Arabidopsis thaliana: one gene and its partner. The protein of the gene in region 1 interacts with the protein of each later gene in a pairwise test. Each region holds a gene or a part of one and is shown on either strand. Other genes may lie near its edges.

Region 1 (4,669 bases):
CTAGTCTTAATTTGATGTATTATTGTATGGGTTTAGTTTGGACTTATATCATGGGGTTTTGGATCCACAAATTTCACCTATACTTCTCTTATAATTTGCCCTTTTGGGTTAGTAATCAAAGAAATTGTCGACAAAAAAAAATACGTCAAAAGTACTCCTAAATTTTATATAATATACAAAATTTCTAAATATTTCATGAATATTAATTCTACAAAAGAGCATATTAATTCTTATTAGAGATGTTTTATCCGATCTGAACCAAATCAAAATAATCGATACGAAAAAACGAACATAATTGAATATCTTAAATCATAATTTAAAGGTTACTTTGAAAAAAAATATAAATTAATAAGGTTTAATTATAGTTATTTTATTTATATATATATTTATAATCTAATTCGGATTTAAACAAAAATTATTGATAGAAACCCGATTCTAAGAGCCGAAATTTGGGATTAAACTCGTAATTTCTAGTTTCAATAACCAAAATTATACGTTTGCATCGTTGCCTCATCACCATTTCAATAGTTTCACTAGGTGAAATTGATAAAACTTGTAATTCTTAACAGAAATTAGAAAAACTTTGTAAATTTAACAAAAGACATGTACAATGAAAATTAGAAGTTCAACACAAACAATCAACGAAGAAGACAAAAAAAAATTTAAATAATCTGAAAAAACAATTCTTTACAAAAACATACAACATTTTGTCTTAACATATGTCTTAAGATTAATGTTACAAATCAAGATTCTTCTTTAACAGCTACTGATCCCCAACGCTTCGAATACGTTTCTGCAGATGTTCCAAGCTCTCAACTCTACGCATCGAAGCTGTTCTGTTCATCTTGCACCCTATCAAGGCCTTGCCTTTGTTCCCCGAGCTAATGATCTCTGGTGTAGTCACTTGGCTGCTTGTAGTGTCTGGAGAATTTGATGTCTCTGAAGGAAGAGAGACAGTTGAAACAATCTGAGGCATATTGTGGAACATTGGGTTAAAGCCAGTGAGTCTCTTCACTGTCTCTTCAGCCATTTTCACCTGCCAAAAACAAACATGCTTCAATAGCGAGTTTTGGTAGACAGAGAGATAAAAGAAAGTATTTTACCTTTGCTCGTAGTGTCTCAATATTGGCTTTTAAAACTCTGTTTTCTACAGATGCATCATTGAATGTTTGAGTTACATCAGTGAGACCCTTCATGAGTTTTGAATTCTCTACACGAAGCTGTGAAACCTACACGAAATGGAGATTGTCGCACAAGTGAGCTAAACAAAGTTAAAGGAGAAAGAATAAGAACGCTGCGAGAGTAACATACTTGTGTCTCTAGCTCACTCAAGTGTGCTTGCTTTCTTCTTCTGGACCGTCTAGCTGATTCTCTATTAGAGAGCATCCTATAACAAACAAATTCACGTTCATGTTCATGTTCAAGTCCAAGAAAGGATGTAAATTTGTTACCTTTTAACGCGTTTAACATTAGTAGGGTTCATATTAGTTTCACCATCAGCTTCTTCTTCATCACCAGAGAGCTCAGATCCACTTGTTATAGCACTGCTCATCATTGGTGTAGCTGCATACAGATTGGTCCATTAGCATTTACAAGAAATCTTGAAAACAAACACAACAACTATCAATAACATCTTAAAAGGCTTATCATAGATGTATTGTAAAACCTTTGGAAGAAGCAAGAGAGGCTTGTTCTGATTCATTGGCTCCACCATTGTCAGATCTACCAGAAGTATCCTGAGGTTTGATGAAAGTTCCCTATCAAATTTTCAATATTAACACCACAAAATCAATTAACTAATGCAAATTATAATCTCAAGGAAGATAATGGCAAATCATATACAAAAGGTCCAATAAGATCTTAACACTCAAACATAACAAAACAAGATTAGTTTCTTAGCTTCAAGTGAACTCATCAAACTAACAGATAAAAAGGTTTTGTTTTTCTTTTTCTATGAAAAAAAAAAAAACTCAAACTTGAGCAGAGTAGTGAGTACCCTTTTCATGGCGACAGCAGCACAAGCAAGATTAAGTTTACTCTTGAGAAATGCTCTGTATTCCTCTGAATCTACAGGAACATTAGGAGGAGAGGAGACGGAAACACCACACGCCGTCGTAGATTCTCCGTCGTCTGCAGCGGCGGAGGATTCTTGTATGAAACGATTGAATGCCCATTCGGAAGCACTGCGATTCAACGACGTCATTCCATTAACCGACCAGTGATGGTTACCGGAGATTTCTTCGTCGGAGAAAACTTTTTCCATCTTTTCTCTTTTGTAATTTGTTTGTTTCTTTAGTTTTATTTATTTTTTTTTGGTTTCAAATTGTCAAAACAGTTTCTTCTTATCCGATTGGGCAGTCTTGCATTTTAATAATATGTTCTTTTCAAGTTTTGTTGTTTTGTTAGATATTTAATTGTCTGATTATTACCCTAATGGCCCCGACAAGAGTCGTGTATTTCTATTTACAGCAAAAACTTTTGATTTATTCTGTTAGGTCACTGTTTTCTTGTAGTATCTTAAAAAACGACAGGTCATAATACAAAAAATTATAACGATTTTTATTAACAACAGAACTAATAATAAATAAAAGGAAAAAAGTATCTGGAAATATGGTTTTAGTTATACTAATTTTTCTACTTTTTAGAACAATTTTTAGTTTATAAGATATATAGAATGGAAAAAATAATTAAAGTGTCAAACTTTTTTTTTTCTTTCTTAAAACATGTTTTTAAAAAAGGTGAGATTCGCCTACAGTTACAACGAATAATAATATTAAGATACACAAATTAAAATAGAAAAAACTGATCAGAGTCAAAAAAGAAAATTGTATCCTAGTGGACAATGGAAAACGGAGAATCTACTGCTTAACCCACCTTATCTCAATATCTTTCTTCGATCTCACAATGGCCGACACAATGACCGAGCTACGAGAAAAAATTGTTACTATCACCAACGTCCTCTACCATAAAGGGATTTTTCGAGGTAAGGGATTTTACTCACTCTTGAGCACTCAAGATAAATTCCAAGATTAGCGGTAAAAATCAAAAATAATCGAAAATTTTAAATTTAAAAACGATTCTTTAAGAAAGAAAAAACCGTTAGAAACGATGTAATGATTGTAATTTTTCAGACCATTTTATAAAAAAAATAAATAATATTATTAAGAAAACAAAAATTATTAAGATTATCAGAAATGCAGTCTCCTTCACAAACTTCATTGCCTAATTGTTTACTCAAATGTGTAATATATATCGATCTTATATTCCACGTTTGAAAGGGGACGATTAGGGGTTCATATTTATAAACAACAAATGTTGGTGTATAATTGATAAAAACAGAAGAATATGAGGAGCTTAAAGTAATATTTAAAATATACATGTAATAATATTTGTTTATGCCTTATTGGATTTAATAATATTTTTTTCAACGCTTTTTGGGGCAAATCCAAGTCAGACTGACGTGGCAAGGGGTATTTTAGTCAATTTAAATTTTGATCTGCATCACAAGAATATATAAATAATAAATATTATAGTTGTCGTCGGTTTTGTAACGTAACTTCATTTCATGGGTCCATTTAATATTCCCATTTGCATTTTACAAAGGAAAGGAGAGATCCGAGAGGAACATAATATATAGTTTTGTAAGTGAAGTTAGATTAGAGAAATGTACTAAACTTCTGATTTTTGGATAAGAATCTATCCAAATTCAAGTTGCATATTTTGGTGGGTCCTTTATTTTTGCATATATTAGTACACTTGTGCAAAACCTTTTATCAAGAGAATATCTAGTGAGAGAGAAACATAACACTTGCAAACCAAGTGGATGTTGGTGGTTTGACTTTGAGAATATCAGTAGTTCAACTCTATTTGAAAGAATGATTTACGTTTTATCAAAGTACGTCTCTATTACACCATTAGTAGAATTTTGTAGACTTTTCTATGTTAAAGTGGTTTAGAAAAATCTCAAACTGTATAATTTCGTGTGACATTTTGTCTTATTTTAGGAAGAATTATTATGTAGGTTAGGTTATGAATCAATTTCTAAATCATTCTTATTTTGACCTGGTGTCATGTTTAAGGTTTATTAAAAATCCGATGAATGGACTATTCAACGGCTACACTCAGAGTTGGTCCTAAAACCCAAAATATTTTTTGCCTATAAATATTTAAAATATAGCAAAATGATGCATTGGAGACTTAAACCTATAACATGAGAAACAAAAAAACCCGGAAAAATCACTGTCCTACAAGAAATTTATAGTTTTGGTGCTTTCAAAATGAAATATATATTTTGAGGCTTAAAACCCTTAATTGTTCAGCTTTAGATTAGGACAGACAGTGGATACATTTACTTTGAAAAAGTTTGTCGATGGTAAAACTGGAACACCCCTGATTATCAGATTTTTTTTTTTGTTGTCTTACTTTCAAAAGAGTAGGTTTATCTGTTCAAGAAACTATTTCTACATTTTTTTGTGGATTTTTTTCGTGTCGTGTATGGGTTATTTATTCGTTGGTTTGTTTTTCTTTTTCCGTATAATGCTGAAAGATTTGGAAAATAGAACATTGCCAAAAAAAAAAGATATGCATGCAGCTAGGCCGGTGGGATCAATTAGTGGGCCTAATGAAACGTGTTGGCTCATACATTTGGGATATATGGCCCCATTTTTTA
Region 2 (3,365 bases), 8.1 Mb from region 1:
TTGATTCCTGATCTGAGTAATCTGCTTATATTGTCCTTTAGATTCTCTTCATGGTCGTGTTCAGAATTTTTAACTAGATAGGATAAATGGAGAGGGGATGAAAATTAAAAATAGTGTCTCTCAACAGTCACTACTGCATCTTTGTTAATTTATGATGGGTGTATCATGATATGCTATTTTGCATTTTCCTTTGTTGCAGTGTAGACTACATAGTTATTACCAGCGTAGACCGTGACGATATACCTGATGGTGGAAGTGGACATTTTGCGCAGACTGTCAAAGCTATGAAGGTTATTAATATTCTATTTGTTTATGCATTATGTTATTTAAGCATACCTTTTTGTGCATTTCTCGAATGTTGTTTCAGAGTATTTATGAAAATGAAAATATATATCTCATCTCTGTAGAGACATAAGCCGGATATAATGATAGAATGCTTAACTTCTGATTTTCGTGGGGATTTGGAGGCTGTCGACACTCTTGTGCACTCGGGATTGGATGTTTTTGCTCACAATGTCGAGACTGTGAAAAGGCTCCAGCGACTTGTGAGGGATCCTAGGGCTGGGTGAGTGCTGTTTCTTGTTCTTCATTTTTTTATATGTTCTGCAAATTTGGTTATGGCATAGATGGGCTGAGCAGTGAATTGATCCTCTGCTCCGGGATGTCAATCTCATATTACACAGTCAAATATCTCCTAAAGTGAGACATAGGTGGTGTTCTGCATCTTTAGTTGTAGTAAATCTCCATTTTAATGTGGATATAATGTGGAGAATGCAGATATGAGCAGAGCATGTCAGTTTTGAAACATGCAAAGATCAGCAAACCTGGAATGATCACAAAGACATCCATAATGCTTGGTCTTGGAGAAACAGACGAAGAGTTGAAGGAAGCAATGGCTGATCTAAGAGCTATAGATGTTGATATTCTAACACTTGGCCAGTATCTACAGGTAAACTAATCACTTCAACATTCCCCACATCATTCGCAATATTCCTATTTCCAAGATAGAAAGATCCCAAATTTCAAAGAACATCTACGATTTAAAACCGTTTCTCTTGTTCCACAATGAAGCCAACTCCATTGCATCTGACTGTGAAAGAGTATGTCACACCTGAGAAGTTTGATTTCTGGAAAACATACGGAGAATCAATAGGATTTCGTTATGTTGCAAGTGGTCCACTGGTAAAGCCACAAACTATTTCTTACTCTTTATGTCAAAAAATATCTGAGAACATAGAAGATACAGAAATGTACTTGTTTGATATTGGATATATACTTTTTGCAGGTAAGATCTTCATATAGAGCAGGAGAGCTTTTTGTTAAGACAATGGTGAAAGAAAGCTACTCTAAATCCTTGTCTTAATAACAACAATGGCTACTATAATGCCAAAAATGATTGCTGAGACCACAAAGCCTTCTTCCTATCTTTTTTGTTTGTTTCTTTTAATAGACTTCATTTATTTTGGTAATTGATTTGGAAACCATTGTGGATATATAAAAGTTTATATATACTAGTTTTGTGTTATTATAAAATCCTGCCAATAATATCTGGAAATTGTCTCAAGATATTTACAGTGTTGATTCTCTATCTGAAGCCACAAGTTCCTCATCTCTTACATTGTCTTAAGTCTGACACGCGTCGCCTTTCTTTATCCAAAAATAATCCGACTTTTAATTTAAACCAAATAATTAGCAAAATTAGTAATCACCTTGATTAAATTAACCATCTAATATAAATAGATGAGGGGCTAAATGATATGATCTTTTTTGTTTTCTCTCACACTTTCTTAAGATTTTTTTCTTCGGCTCGGACGCAGATGACTAACAGTTACGCTCTGTCACCGGCGATTATCGCCGCCGTTCGTCCTCCGGCATCTCAAGACTATCTAGTTGCTGCTTCTCTTAGTGGACGCAAATCGATCAACTCTTCATCTTCGTCCATTTTCGTACCTATCTCATTATCTACTTCCTACGGTCGAAGCAAATGCGCCTTCTCAATCTCGCGGAAGAATCCAAAATCGACGATTCGTTGCGATATTGCTGTGAAATCGGCGGCTTCTGTAGACGCGGACGCTGATCTATCGTCATCTACGTCGTTGGAGACGGAGGAAGACGAGAAAGCGAAGGAGAAGATTGGAGCTAGGGTTAGGGTTACGGTTCCGTTGAAAGTTTACCATGTGGTTCGTGTACCGGAGGTTGAATTGATGGGAATGGAAGGTTTTATCAAAGATTACGTCGTTCTTTGGAAAGGAAAGAAAATCTCAGCTAATCTGCCGTTTAAGGTACAGTTCGTGAAAGAGATCGAAGGTCGTGGTCCTGTCAAATTCTTCACGCATCTTAAGGAAGACGAGTTCGAGTTAATTGATCCGTGATTGAATTGAAAAAGGCAAAAACTTTTCTTCTCTTTCTGATATTAGACTTGAAAAATCTTTTGTGAATGGTTTGTTTGTATGTACTTTTGTATACATTTAGCTTATTATATACATAAGATTTCACCCATTCTTGAATCCTTTATTGCTGTTTTCTTGCTTCTGATTTGGTTTCCCAGAGTATATAGTTCGTCTTGTGTTGGAGAAACTAAAAGCTGTCTATTGATCCATTGACTAGCTTAGAAGCCTATCAAACTGATTTTGCATTTGATGTGTTCACTTCAAATGAACATCATTGAATGATCTTATCCTCAAAATCTATCATCCGTTGGAGGTTATGAAGTAGATGGTAGTGAGCATGAAAGTGGTAAAGATATTGGTTTATGTAACTAAAGAGTGTTTTCAGTTGATTGTTATAGTGAGAATCTTTGTTTGTAGTTAGAACCAGAAACTAAAAGGAATGACATCAGTTGTTTTCTAGGTTCTTATCCTCTTTGTTTCGTATAATCAAATGTGGGATTGCATTCTCTGATCTTTGTAGAAGAGTCTTTGAGTTAGAAGTAATGATGGCATGAGAGAGTGTTGAGGAATTAGTTTATGTGTCAATGTGGATGGTTCCTTTGCTGCAACTCTTTTTTGTAGTAATAATATGAGTATATGATGTGGGCAGTAGTATTGTGGTAATTCTTCTCAAGTTGTTAGCATTTTGATTTACTGAGATAAGGTCAGGAGTTGTAGTGGACTCATAAGATTATGTACCAAATGTTGTTACTTCCAATGTGATAAGCTAAGCTATGACCAATCCATGAGGAATATTGTTCCAGCCTTTTTGGGTCTCATTCTCTCTCTCCCCGGTCGCGGTTTACGGATTGGTTTTTTGCTTGTTTGATTTCGATTGGATAAGTTCCGGTTAACCTGATTGAACCGGTTTTAAAATGTTGTAATCCGATAATTATGACTCAAGTCTAATGAAATCTCTGAAATGTGTAAGATCAA

What was found.
Region 2: the proteins of BZO2H3 (region 1) and FTRA2 interact in a two-hybrid assay, tested with the Arabidopsis thaliana proteins (one large-scale study listed by BioGRID).

Annotation. Positions count from the first base shown.
Region 1 is NC_003076.8:10,795,885-10,800,553, forward strand, and holds BZO2H3 (bZIP transcription factor family protein), read right to left. Parts: upstream 2,422-4,669; 5' UTR 2,264-2,421; coding exon 1,997-2,263; intron 1,758-1,996; coding exon 1,667-1,757; intron 1,564-1,666; coding exon 1,452-1,563; intron 1,388-1,451; coding exon 1,312-1,387; coding exon of another isoform or gene 1,230-1,311; coding exon 1,104-1,229; coding exon of another isoform or gene 1,037-1,103; coding exon 764-1,036; 3' UTR 573-763; downstream 1-572. UniProt on the Arabidopsis thaliana protein: Transcription factor involved in controlling responses to starvation. BZIP2-BZIP63-KIN10 complex binds to the ETFQO promoter to up-regulate its transcription.
Region 2 is NC_003076.8:2,708,981-2,712,345, reverse strand, and holds FTRA2 (ferredoxin/thioredoxin reductase subunit A (variable subunit) 2), read left to right. Parts: upstream 1-1,747; 5' UTR 1,748-1,757; coding exon 1,758-2,372; 3' UTR 2,373-2,536; downstream 2,537-3,365. Other genes in the region: AT5G08415 (Radical SAM superfamily protein), read left to right, coding at 200-290, 408-565, 778-949, 1,072-1,182, 1,286-1,363. UniProt on the Arabidopsis thaliana protein: Variable subunit of the ferredoxin-thioredoxin reductase (FTR), which catalyzes the two-electron reduction of thioredoxins by the electrons provided by reduced ferredoxin.